Saccharomyces cerevisiae S288C: one gene and its partners. The protein of the gene in region 2 binds, or shares a complex with, the protein of the main gene of each other region. Links are inferred from orthologs where the notes say so. Each region holds a gene or a part of one and is shown on either strand. Other genes may lie near its edges. A codon is read from its position in the direction of its gene.

The links.
Region 1: the proteins of RIP1 (region 2) and QCR8 are in contact, whole or in part, in a cryo-EM structure (PDB 8ABI), measured with the Yarrowia lipolytica proteins. The link is inferred for Saccharomyces cerevisiae S288C from one-to-one orthologs. Residues at the interface, in XP_499709.1 of Yarrowia lipolytica: Thr42, Ile45, Pro46, Phe48, Thr49, Pro50, Tyr51, Leu52, Lys53, Arg56, Asn61, Arg62, Ser65, Tyr66; in XP_504875.1 of Yarrowia lipolytica: Ala23, Tyr25, Thr26, Ile27, Phe30, Ala31, Ala32, Arg33, Ala36.
Region 3: the proteins of RIP1 (region 2) and QCR9 are in contact, whole or in part, in a crystal structure (PDB 4PD4), measured with the Saccharomyces cerevisiae proteins. Residues at the interface, in NP_010890.3 of Saccharomyces cerevisiae: Asp48 (codon at 3,868), Asp50 (codon at 3,862), Lys51 (codon at 3,859), Arg53 (codon at 3,853), Ser54 (codon at 3,850), Tyr55 (codon at 3,847), Tyr57 (codon at 3,841), Phe58 (codon at 3,838), Gly61 (codon at 3,829), Gly64 (codon at 3,820), Leu65 (codon at 3,817), Leu66 (codon at 3,814), Ser68 (codon at 3,808), Ala69 (codon at 3,805), Lys72 (codon at 3,796), Ser73 (codon at 3,793), Glu76 (codon at 3,784); in NP_011699.1 of Saccharomyces cerevisiae: Ser2 (codon at 1,861), Phe3 (codon at 1,864), Ser4 (codon at 1,867), Tyr7 (codon at 1,876), Lys8 (codon at 1,879), Arg13 (codon at 1,894), Asn14 (codon at 1,897), Ala15 (codon at 1,900), Val16 (codon at 1,903), Ile21 (codon at 1,918), Phe22 (codon at 1,921), Gly24 (codon at 1,927), Ala25 (codon at 1,930), Phe26 (codon at 1,933), Phe28 (codon at 1,939), Gln29 (codon at 1,942).

Annotation. Positions count from the first base shown.
Region 1 is NC_001142.9:104,916-107,218, reverse strand, and holds QCR8 (ubiquinol--cytochrome-c reductase subunit 8), read right to left. Parts: upstream 786-2,303; coding exon 501-785; downstream 1-500. Other genes in the region: protein kinase HAL5, read left to right, coding at 1-325; ERG20 (bifunctional (2E,6E)-farnesyl diphosphate synthase/dimethylallyltranstransferase), read right to left, coding at 1,147-2,205. UniProt on the Saccharomyces cerevisiae protein: Component of the ubiquinol-cytochrome c oxidoreductase, a multisubunit transmembrane complex that is part of the mitochondrial electron transport chain which drives oxidative phosphorylation.
Region 2 is NC_001137.3:103,235-111,268, reverse strand, and holds RIP1 (ubiquinol--cytochrome-c reductase catalytic subunit RIP1), read right to left. Parts: upstream 4,010-8,034; coding exon 3,362-4,009; downstream 1-3,361. Other genes in the region: YEL023C (uncharacterized protein), read left to right, coding at 717-2,765; YEL025C (uncharacterized protein), read left to right, coding at 5,122-8,034. UniProt on the Saccharomyces cerevisiae protein: Component of the ubiquinol-cytochrome c oxidoreductase, a multisubunit transmembrane complex that is part of the mitochondrial electron transport chain which drives oxidative phosphorylation.
Region 3 is NC_001139.9:858,563-861,120, reverse strand, and holds QCR9 (ubiquinol--cytochrome-c reductase subunit 9), read left to right. Parts: upstream 1-1,644; coding exon 1,645-1,647; intron 1,648-1,860; coding exon 1,861-2,058; downstream 2,059-2,558. Other genes in the region: E3 ubiquitin-protein ligase UBR1, read left to right, coding at 1-1,220; protein translocase subunit TIM13, read right to left, coding at 2,517-2,558. UniProt on the Saccharomyces cerevisiae protein: Component of the ubiquinol-cytochrome c oxidoreductase, a multisubunit transmembrane complex that is part of the mitochondrial electron transport chain which drives oxidative phosphorylation.

The sequences.
Region 1 (2,303 bases), on a different chromosome or scaffold from region 2:
TCTGGTAGATTGTTGGAGTTGTGGTATTGTTTACTGTACAATGGTCATGGGACAGTATCTTTGGAAAATCGCCATTCCTGAAAAGGATTCTCTTTTTAAATCATTTCTCAGTGAAATTAAAGATGATGGACAGTTTTATCTATTTGAGGAATTAAGACATGTTAGTAGCGAACTGAATAGGTTGAGGAAAATTGCACTATATAGAACGTTCCAGGTCGACCCCACGAAGAGAATCACCATTGAACAATTACTACAAAGCTCCTGGATGAGGAAAACAAAATGCTGTGTAGTTTATAGACACTTACATACCAAGGTTAGTAAATAAAGATATACAAAACAAAAAATGCTTAAGTATTTATTATTACTGATACTGTAAGTAAATAAATAGACTGACTGAATAAATATATGGGGGTTATTTGCTCTTGTTTTATAAACAGAATATATATGTAAGTTTTTAGAAGATCAAAAGATCGATGTAATGTAGAGGCATGGAAACAATATTAAACATTAACTCTTTCCAGCTCTTCTCTACCAGCTTTGCTGTACAGAAATTCATTATACTCGTTACCGTTCTTCCACCAGTACCAATAAATTCCCGCAGGTATTAATACATATAGAAATTGAGACTTAAATCTTCTAAAACTATTGAATACAGCGTTATGGAAAATACCTTGTAATGGCTTTTGAGCATATGGAGACACAGCATATGAGGTTATACCTTTTTGCTTTGGACCACCCATGTGACCCCACCATCCCATGTAAGTTTTACCGCTTGGAGGACCCATTATCGTAGAAGTTTTTGTGTAGTGTTTTGTTGATTATTTGTATTTAACGTACGACAACTTACTCTTAATCGGACTTGCTCAAGTAAACAATGTTCGAGAGATGAGGTCGTTGCTTTTCCTATTATTATATGAATAAAATTTGGGGGGTGGCTCAAGTTTCCTTCTCGTACTACCCGTAATTTCCGATCACGCATTTCTTCATTTTCATTGGCTTAAAAAAAATCCTTGGACTAGTCACGTGGAACGGTAGATCGAGAGATACTATCTTAAAGCTTATACTATATTATATTGGAAGTATATAGTTCTTATACATGGTCCTTATCTAGTTTGAAATCTAATGTTTTATCGATTAGCGTTAGTTCTATTTGCTTCTCTTGTAAACTTTGTTCAAGAACGCAGTTAAGACATCAGCTTTGAAGCCACGAGACTCATCGACCTGAGAAATTTTGGCCTTCAAATCCTTGGCAATAGACTCTTCATATTCGTGGTATAGCTGTTCAATTTTCAAGTCATTGAAAATCTTTTTGCATTTGGCTTCTGCGACTGAGTCCTTCTTACCGTAATTTTCGTCTAAAGTCTTTCTTTGTTCTGCGGAAGCAAGTTCCAATGCCTTGTTGATTACCCAAGAACATTTGTTATCTTGGATATCTGTACCGATCTTACCGATCTGTTCTGGGGTACCGAAGCAGTCTAAGTAGTCATCTTGAATTTGGAAGTATTCACCCAATGGAATCAAGACATCTCTGGCTTGTTTCAAATCCTTTTCATCCGTGATACCGGCAACGTACATGGCCAATGCGACAGGCAAGTAGAAAGAATAGTAAGCAGTCTTGAAAGTAACTATGAAGGAGTGCTTCTTTAGGGAGAACTTACTCAAGTCGACTTTGTCTTCAGGTGCAGTGATTAAGTCCATCAATTGGCCCAATTCGGTTTGGAAGGTGACCTCATGGAACAATTCGGTGATATCTATGTAGTATTTTTCGTTTCTGAAGTGAGATTTCAAAAGCTTGTAGATAGCAGCCTCTAACATGAATGCGTCATTGATGGCAATTTCCCCAACTTCAGGAACCTTGTACCAACATGGTTGGCCTCTTCTGGTAATGGACTTGTCCATCATATCATCGGCGACCAAGAAGTAAGCCTGCAACAACTCAATGCACCAACCTAGAATGGCAACCTTTTCGTATTCTTCTTGCCCCAATTGTTCAACGGTCTTGTTGGAGAGAATAGCATACGTGTCCACAACGGACAAACCTCTATTTAGCTTACCGCCTGGAGTGTTGTAGTTCAATGAGTGGGCATACCAGTCACATGCTTCCTTAGGCATACCGTAAGCCAAAAGCGATGCGTTCAATTCCTCTACTAATTTAGGGAAAACGTTCAAGAATCTCTCTCTCCTAATTTCTTTTTCTGAAGCCATTTCTACGTAATATTTTTGAGTTTATTGTGCCTATGTCAGTCCAATACCTGTTGGTTGAGTTTTTAAAGTTAAAATGAAAACTGATAGAAGAACAATCT
Region 2 (8,034 bases):
TCGACACTTATTGAAGGTTCTCGCAATGAACCGCGTAGTATTTTTCAAGTCGGGTAATGAAATATATAAGAACACTTCTAATACTTTATGAAAATAAGTGCTAAATATGGTTTACCTCTTATGCCAATATAAACTATAAAAGAACTTAAAAACATCAAATCTTTAGCAGAGGAGTCCTTTCCGTTTGAAATTGTTGTTTATTACTTTATTTGCGGTTCGCCACACTGCCTAAAACCTGCAGTTTCCTGTAAATGTTGCTGGTATATTATCAGTATGAGCCGGCCGGATATTTCCCTTATTTAATGAAAGAAGTTTTTTTGAAGTCAACTTCTAGTGTTTGTCTTCCATTTTAACGATCAGGAGTCGTCATTCCAATTTTTTGCCTAGAAAAGATTCATGCTTTTAGGAAAATAGTGGAAAACCAAACATACATCAATTGACGCTTCAAGTATGGTACTTAAAAGATAATGTTAATATTTATTATCCTGTTAATTAGTCTTTCTTCGTCTTCTGAAAAATGTTACTTGGAATATTTAATGTTATGAAATTATGGTAATGGCCCTCCTGTTGTCTATTGAGGTGTCTGGGTGTGTTTGTCACATTCAATATACTGTTAAACCGCCACAAATTAATGTACTTCAGACAGATGTAGTAAAATAACAGCAAACAGGTGATGTAACTTATAAAAAATAATACACTAACATAATATCCATTAGATGGATAGCTTCAATTATATTCATGGAAAATATAAAAAAAATGGGACGGGAGGCGACAGAAGTATAAATCCATCCTCACATTCATCGTCTGGCAAGAATATCATTCTTTGTTTTGATGGAACAAGAGAAAATTTTGGACCTCAGCCATTCACTAATATTTTAAAATTGTACAACCTTCTTGAGAACGGTGATAGTTCTGAACAAATTTGTTATTACCAACCTGGAATTGGTTCAGTTGGATTTGACGCTGTTGTTGATGTCAGAAGACGGTTAACTATTTCTCACTTACAAAATTTATTAGATTCTATGTTCGCATTCAGTTTAGACAATCACATATGTTCTGCATATCTTTTTTTGATGAAGTATTTTGAACCAGGAGATAGAATTTATATGTTTGGCTTTTCTAGAGGAGCTTTTATTGCAAGAGTTCTTGCTGGAATGATTGAAAGAGTCGGACTTTTGAGTAAAGGTTTGGAAGAAATGGTTAAAATGGCATGGCAAATCTATGAAAAATGGGAATACGATTCGCAGCCTAATGAATTACAGTACACAAGTACCTTGGCTGAAGAATTCAAGAAAACATTCTCTAGGGATTACGAGGTAAAGATACATTTTCAAGGCTTATTCGATTCTGTGAACTCAGTTGGAATATTAAGGGACAGGTTGTTTCCTTGCACCCAGAGAAGCAATATCGTTGAGCATGTTCGACATTGCGTATCCTTGGATGAAAGACGTGGAAAATTCAAGCAGTTATGTTTCACTCCGATGCCGTACATTCCGAAACTATTTTCATTGACATATTGTAATCATATAACTGACCAGTGTTCGCCGGTGCCAACTTCTAATGCATTAATGCGTGATCTAACCCCGGAAAATCCTTTGATAAAATACACTTTAAAAAGTGGCGCACATTCTATTAGTAATCCTTCTCCACTCATTCCTGATAACCCTGGAAGGTTGTTATCGAGCAAAAGCGAGGAAACTACAGAGTTGCTGTTGGACCTGAACTCATTCTTAGAAGGTAATTCATACGCGAGAGATACAGAATGTTCAACAAGAGGAATTGAAGCCATTTTCCAACTTCAATCTATCCAAGGCAGCGGTACATCAAGTAGAATGACTATGACACCCGACTTGATTGAAAAATGGTTTCCAGGTGATCATTCTGACGTTGGTGGAGGTTGGGCGCCTGACTGTGAGACAGAAGAGAACTTGTCAAATTTAACGCTGCGATGGATTTTAGCAGAGGCAATCAAATTTGGTGTTAAATTCAAACCTGGTGCAATACATGATTTCGCTACCAAACACACTTCGATTGGATCTTTATTCGCAGACACACATGATTACCTTAGTTTCAACTCACCAAAGAAATGTTCCCTACTAGGAGTGAGTGATAATGAGGATGGAGCCCGAGAGGATAAATCTGGCAGAAATGAGAGAATGGAAGATTGTCTAAAAAATATAAAAGAGACTAGATTGAGCTTGAAAGATGAAAAAGAAAAAGTGAAGGATGCTTTTACTCTTAAATGTGGACATGCAAATAAATTTATGAGATTGGTGTGGTGGGTATTGGAACTGCTCCCCATTGGAATACGAATGGAAAATAAAGAAGGAAAGTGGCAAAATTTTCATACACCTAACCTCGGAAGATCTCGTTATGTACCCGAATATGTCAGTTTACATTGGTCAGTCTATTGGAGAATTAAGTTTGATCGTAGGTATAGACCGGACAATATGCCGGAATATGTAAGGCAATTGTTCCAAGATTTGGAAGGTATTGATTTAAAAAGTAATAAAGTTTCAAATAAATATGATAAGCAAGATAATAGCAACGGGAGTGAAATCAATGGGGGCTTTTTTGATAATGAGGAAGGGCAGGAACTCCACATGGGTCAAAAAGCAAGTTATTTTGCAACGACATACAATTCAAGATTATTTGACAGTAAATACTCCCAATTAAAAAAGAAATTCATGGACTGGGATAGTAATTCCTGGACAGATATTCCAGATGATTTAAAAATATACCTACAGCAAGATGAATCGCTTTAGCATTAAAAAAACCCCTTCGGTACGTAATATAAAAAATTTTATAGGTAATATACATATATAAAAATACTTCAATCATTTTTACAATCTTGTATACTTTATACAACATGTGAAATCTTCTGCTTCTGGACATCAATATTCAAATACAGGCCAATCTTAGGTAAAACATTTGGAGAAAAGAAGGATAAGGCAGGACGAGGGAAGATAAATAGTTTCGTTAATTATAAATACATGCAGATAAATAAAGGAATATCAAATATTATGAATAGAAAAAGAAGATGGTGAGACAAAAAAGTAGTAATAAATAGGTCCAAATCTTCTTTATTTCCCCTTTCTTTTCTTATCCTTTTGTTTTCTCCATATTGTATAAGAATATATTCTTAGGAAAATCAACAGGGAATACAGTATAGTGATTTTCGTTCCTTTTTGAGCGTAATCCCTTCGAGACTGTGATGTTGATTATTTTTGTTGTGATTTCAAAATTCTTAGGTTAGTTGTATAGTTCCCGTTCATAACATAATGGATAGTAAATGAAAAATCAAAATAAGGGTGAAACAAATAGACAATAAAGATGTAGTTTTCGAGGACGAAAAACAAACCTAACCAACAATGACCTTATCACCATCGAATTCATAAGCAGGAATTTCTAAGTTTAAGGGGGCAGGTCCCTTTCTGATTCTACCGGAAATATCATAATGTGAACCATGGCAAGGACAGAACCAACCACCAAAATCACCGGCTTCACCAATTGGAACACAACCTAAGTGAGTACAAATACCCAGCATAATTAACCATTGAGGGTCTTTGACTCTGTCAGCATCGGTCTGTGGGTCCTTCAAAGCGGACATATCCACACTGTTGGCTTCCTGAATTTCATGAGGAGTTCTGTGTCTAATGAACACAGGCTTACCTTGCCATTTGACAACCACGTTTTTACCCAATGGGATAGCCGCTAAATTAACTTCAACTTTAGCCATAGCCAAAACATCGGCAGTAGCGGTCATAGATGAAATAAAGGTTTCTACGGTTGATTTGGCACCTGCAGATGACAAAAGACCCATAGCACCGACCATAAAGTAAGCATAAGAACGGCCTTTATCAGCATCGTTATTTTCCTTTAAAACGTCATCAAAATTTGGGGTCCTGTACGTGGATTTGCTAGCCAGCAAAGATTGAGAAATCAGTCTTTTGGAAGTTAAAGACATTGGCTTGAAGCAGGTCTTGACAGATGATCTTATTCCTAACATGTTTGTTATTGCTCCTTTCGGTTTCCTAATAAGTGTTAGAGTGATATTATTTATGTTCAATAATTTCTTGGTTTTTAAAAGACGTTGAACTTGAAAGCAACAAAAAGTTACGACAGAGAAGTAATATATTACTTGATATTCAAGAACCAACTATAGTTCTTGCAGGTCTTTTTCCAGTCCTTATAAGGGAGCCTCCGCGTCGCCGCACGTGACCCAAGACCGATAAATGGCGCAAAACGCTGATTGGTCCGTTATGGAGTGTCTAAAAGGAAAAAGATGCGCTATGGACGAACCTGAAAGAGGCCAAATGATAGGGAAGCTTAGAGTGAAAGGTGGAACAGGAGAAGTTGAAAGGATGAAATACACAAGATGACAAGAAGGCTCGAATTAAAGGCGGCTAGTTATTTCAATTTAGGAAGCATTTGCTCTAAGAGTCGATGGGTCGTACTTCATGCACATTATATTACGCATGAATAGCCGCCCAAGCTATATGAACTTATTGGTGGATTTTTGAAACCAATAAAAAGGATTTATGAGAAAGAATAATCTTCCTCTGGGGTATTCATAGCTATCAACGTATGGTTACCTTGTCTTAGTCGGACACTGGACATAACTCTTACAATGGCTGTTAGCTTCTCAATTGACAATGGTATTTAATATACCAGGCGGTTAAAGAAAGGGTAGGTATTTTTTTCTACCTAGTTCAGTTTATATGGATGAGACAGGGATAGACGGGCATGTACGGAGTTTTTCGACTTGATCAGTGCAATCCACTGATTATCGTTTTATGTAGGTATTTTCTTGAGTTACAAAATTTTAGGGAAAGTATGGATACAACCAGAGAGCCGATGTGGTGTTTTTTTTGGTTTTTAGTACATGCAGTACGCTTCTTTTTCTATTTCCTGTATACTTCCTTTAAGCGTATTCGTCGTTATAGGTTCTATTTGCTTTCAACTGAACGCGCTTGCCTGAACGCCTAAAGCGGAAAGAAATACATGACTGAAAAACAGACATTCTGGTCGCAACTCAGCGAAAGGGAGGGTAGAAAAATATATTGTGTTATAATGTCAGCGTTAGCGCATTGCATATTGCACTAGCCATTGCCACGTAAAATGGCAAGACAAGATGAAACGGACTGCAAAAAATTGGATAGCAATTCGGCCTTTTTACCTTTATGCATAACATCTTATAGATCAAAAGATGAGGCTGAGAAGCTGGTAAGTTGTCTTCATCACGAAGGAAGTTACTTTTTATGTTTTAGCTATGGATTGTATACCGGAACGTCCAACGAATTGAAAGCGAAGGTTGAGTTCGCTTTAGATGGACCGTTCGTTGTTAACTACGCAACTGTACCGATGTTCATGTCAGCTTCCTTCTGTCACCTGCTAATGTTTAACGACGGTTCCATTAAGGGATTCAAATGCGAAAATAACAAATTTGAAATTATCTACGACTCTAATGTGGCTCCGAAACTGGATACTATTTCTTTATTAACTTCCAGCTGGTTAAATGCTTCCTTTGAGGGTGTTTTATACACTTGCAATAAAAACATATCATATGATAGTGATTTGCATACGTTATGTACGACAATTTACTCCTTTGACTTCAGAGAAGGAATAGTCGAAAGATTTTATGCCACCGATGGCGAAGAAATTATCTCCTTTGATTTTATTAGCAGGGAGGATTTGCTTGACGACGCCACATGCACAGGTAAATCACACGTTTATTTTCTTTGCCTACTTAAGAGTTGCTATAGTGAAAACCTGTTTTTAAAGGAATACAATCTTGCTGGAAAGCATGGAAGTAGGAAATTTGATTTAAACGAGTACCGCCAATACAATCTTTTGCCGATATGTGATAATGAATTTTGTTATATGAAGGTAGTTTGCGGCCATACCATTGTAGTGTTGACTACTAACTACACTCAAATAATAAATATAAAAGCAAGTGGGCTTACAAACGGGGCTTTTTTCAATAATAAAGGTCTCCCAAATGTAGAAAACTACCAATTTCTAAAAGATTCTTATGATGTGATATATGAAAGATCAGTCATTCTCTTGACAATTTCTGACGTGTATGCTAACAAATACACTGCCAAGATACACACTAGGTCGTTACATAGAGACCACGTCCTGAAAGAACTACAATGGACAAAAGAAAGAGTGTTCAAGCCTCCTAAACATGATCTATGCGATGTTATTTTGCAGCTCCCACGTGAAAAGTATATAGCGGTGACAAGAATAAATGGAGTAAATTTTATATCGAAAGATCATCGAGGTTCAAAATTAGAAAAGGTGAAAAGCGGTCCCGCTTATACAAACAAAGTTTACCTGGCATCACAAGTTATTGGAAACAAGGGGACAGATATTGATTCACTGCTTTTGGGTGGAAGTTTTAACTCAAGAAGAGGATTTTTAGAAAAGAAAATTTTGGTATATGACAAAACCCTGTTCAAGTTAGTGACTTCCTCCAAAGCGCTAGTAGAGAATGTAACTGATTTTTGGGTTACAGATTTAGCACTTAATGGTGGTGACGAATTTGCATATGAATCAGGTGGGTTGATTTATAAGAACGGAATATTTTTAATGGATGAGCCTTATGATTACGGTCTATTTGTTTCTAGGACGGGAAAAGTTTTGAAAGCCGGTATGGATGGTTCTACCGGAGAATTTAGGCAGGTCGATTTCTTGCAGTCGAACCACAACTCTTCCACCATGTTTTGTTATCCCGTACAGAACTCCAAGCTCAGGATTTCGATACTTGAGGCAAAATCTGGTTTTCTACGTAAAAAAGAAGAATTTTTTATCCATGGGCTCAATTCTAAAGAGAGTATTGTGAGCTGTTTCTCAGATGGTGCCGAGAAATACCTTTTTGTCATTTACTTGGACGGTGTGTTTTCGGTATGGAATGCCAATCAAAAGAAAGTGGCTACATCACATCCAGACTATTCTTTCATAGCCTATGATCAATTGATAAAAATATCTTGGCTAAGCAAAAAGCATAAACACGACTCGATTTATGTCATCGCATCATCATACACTGGCTGCGTAAGAGTCTACAAATCAGAATCAAATTTTTTGAGAGTGGATTTAGAGATTCATTCGTTATACGATCAGAAATTAGAACTGTTGGATACGATTCCTTCCTTACCTTTGGTTTTCCTTTACAACGATAAGGAAATAATTTTGTTAAATCTTCAAAACATGTCTTATGGTTGCATACAGTTAGGCTTAGTTCCAAGACGAATGAGAATTCGACCCGGTAAAGCACTGTTCTCTCTTTGTGTTTTAGATTATGATTCTCGAATAAGCATCTTTGAGTTTGGTAGCACGTTTTACCGTGAAGGTTTCACTAAGCAGATGACTTCATTAAAACCTCAATTAGAAAATCATATCTTTTACCTCCCTAGCATTCCCGTAGAGCTCTATACTGTTCCAAATAACCTCAATCAGGCCGTGGTGTGTTTGGTCGATAGCAATAGTAGGCAGTATAAGTTGATGCTATTCAATTATGCTTCAATGAAGGCAGTTTCCACATTCAGTTTCTCGGATGAAAAGTATTTACATGCCGTTGTGAAGCCACTGTGGCCAGAACAAAACTCAATCTACTTATCACAGAGACCCTTTTATGGTAATAAGTTTGTTGTATGCTTAGGAGTTGGTGAAAAACGTACAAAATTCTGGCTGTTTGAAATTAGAAACAATAACATTACCCAATTGTACGCGAATTATCTCGAAGATTGTATATTCTCGGTGTTCATATACTATGAGTGCAACTTGGTTTTATTTTCTGGTGATAGTGGCATAGCAGCATATAAAATAAACATGCTAAAAGAGGGCGCGGAAATTTTAGAGGCCTATTCCTTCCCAGCACTTTCATCGATTAACCATATAGGTCTTCCAGCTTATATGAGTGGTGATTATCTGGTTCAATTTGAGATCTTGAGAGATTTTTTGAGAACCCGCTTTCCAATTAGGACGTCCATAGTATATCCATCAGAGTACCCTGAATGTCCCTACTTGGGT
Region 3 (2,558 bases), on a different chromosome or scaffold from region 2:
TCGCCCTAAGGACCATATCTGATGTACGAATGGAGGGATTGGACTCCGAAAGTATTATTTATGATCTAGCTTATACCTTCCTGTTGAAGAGTCTTCTTCCTACGATAAGAAGGTGCTTAGTCTTTATCAAAGTGCTACACGAATTAGTGAAAGATTCTGAAAATGAAACGCTGGTCATCAACGGTCATGAGGTTGAAGAAGAACTGGAATTCGAAGATACCGCCGAGTTTGTCAATAAGGCATTGAAAATGATTACTGAAAAAGAATCCTTAGTCGATCTTTTGACAACGCAGGAGTCCATTGTATCGCATCCATATTTGGAGAACATCCCATATGAATATTGTGGGATTATAAAACTGATAGATTTATCAAAATATTTGAATACTTACGTTACCCAATCTAAGGAAATCAAGCTACGTGAAGAGCGTTCTCAGCATATGAAGAATGCGGATAATCGATTAGATTTCAAAATATGTTTGACATGTGGTGTCAAAGTGCATTTAAGAGCGGACCGCCATGAAATGACCAAGCATTTGAATAAAAATTGTTTTAAACCATTTGGCGCCTTCCTGATGCCCAATTCAAGTGAAGTTTGTCTCCATTTGACACAGCCTCCTTCTAATATTTTTATATCTGCACCATATCTAAATTCGCATGGTGAAGTTGGTAGAAATGCCATGAGAAGAGGTGATTTAACCACCTTGAATTTGAAAAGATATGAGCACTTAAACAGATTATGGATTAACAATGAAATTCCAGGTTATATTAGTAGAGTAATGGGTGACGAATTTCGAGTGACTATACTTTCCAATGGTTTCTTGTTTGCATTTAATAGAGAACCAAGGCCAAGAAGAATACCTCCAACAGATGAAGATGATGAAGATATGGAAGAGGGAGAAGACGGGTTTTTTACGGAGGGAAATGACGAAATGGATGTTGATGATGAAACTGGACAGGCCGCCAACTTATTTGGGGTTGGCGCAGAAGGTATTGCTGGTGGCGGAGTACGTGATTTTTTCCAATTCTTCGAAAACTTTAGGAACACTCTACAACCGCAGGGAAATGGCGATGATGATGCACCTCAGAATCCCCCACCAATATTGCAGTTCTTAGGACCTCAATTTGATGGAGCTACTATCATAAGAAATACAAATCCAAGAAACCTCGATGAGGATGACTCTGATGATAATGATGACTCTGATGAGCGAGAGATTTGGTAGATTCAAGCCCTCTACTATGTTTTATAGTTGACATATTTGTATATAAAAACTTATACATTATTAAACATTTGCGCGTCGATTGACTTTTATTTATTATTAACAAAGAAGTAATACCAACCTAATTACAAATACTTCGAAGTGACTATCATAAGTTTCCTTATCTAGCGAAGGCAACTTTTGAACTCCCCAGTTGTTAATATGTATCATTATACACGACCCAATCAAACGCGGGGAAGTCAATGCCGAAAGAATTCTAGGACCTAAAAGCTGCTCAATCCTTGGGCCTTTCCCTAATGACATCCCCTCTCAAACTTTAGCTTAGCAGTTGTATTTAATGTCCTGTCACGGATAGTCAATAATCGTTGAAGGTTGATTTTCATATCCTTCGCAATTTCGTAAAGCAACAATAGCAATACGGACTAAAATGGTATGTTGGTGTGTGTGTGTGCTGCTTCACATTTCAGGCTAAAAATGTTATCCGTGGAATCTTCCTTAGCCAAGTATCATGGGCTTTGGAAATTAGTTTCCCACCGATGAGCGCAACGACTTAGCGAAGCTTATGAAATTGGTGACAGCAGCTCTATGAATATGTTCCATGCGTTTCCATTCAGGTTACTAACAATGCATAAATTATGAGTAGTCTTTTTCATCACTATATAAAACCTTTTTCAAACGAAACGCTGTTTTTGTTGGTACTATCTTTGCAGGTGCCTTTGTTTTCCAAACTGTATTTGATACTGCTATTACTTCATGGTACGAGAATCACAACAAAGGAAAATTATGGAAAGATGTCAAGGCTCGAATAGCTGCAGGCGATGGAGACGACGATGATGAGTAAACGCTGATTATGTCACACATATACGTGCAAACGCTCTCTCTCTCTCTCAAGCTATATAAGTGGCACTCGTCTTATTTATTATTTTTTTATTTTGGCTGGTTGTTCATGTTCAACCCAACCTCATAAAGGCACTCAACTTCATATTTTGACACAAATCTATGTCTCGCCAAAGCGCATTCAAATTTCAGAATGGAAATAGACACGAACGAGCCTGTCTGTCAGATGTTCACAAAATCCTTATTATAATTTTATATTCTACTAAAGGAAAAAGAGAATTAGGAAAAAGAATAACTCATTTTATGTATATACATATATTTTGTACATATCTATACCAAGCAAGTATAGTGCAATACTGTTCTTCGACGTTATTAAACGTAATAGCATTTTCTTGGTATCCTTTGAATCTTATATACAAGTACGAGTACATACTGCGCAGTAAATTGATCCTGATGGTGTGTTTAGATTTCGCCAGAAGCGGAGGCGTTCTGGATTCTGGAGAT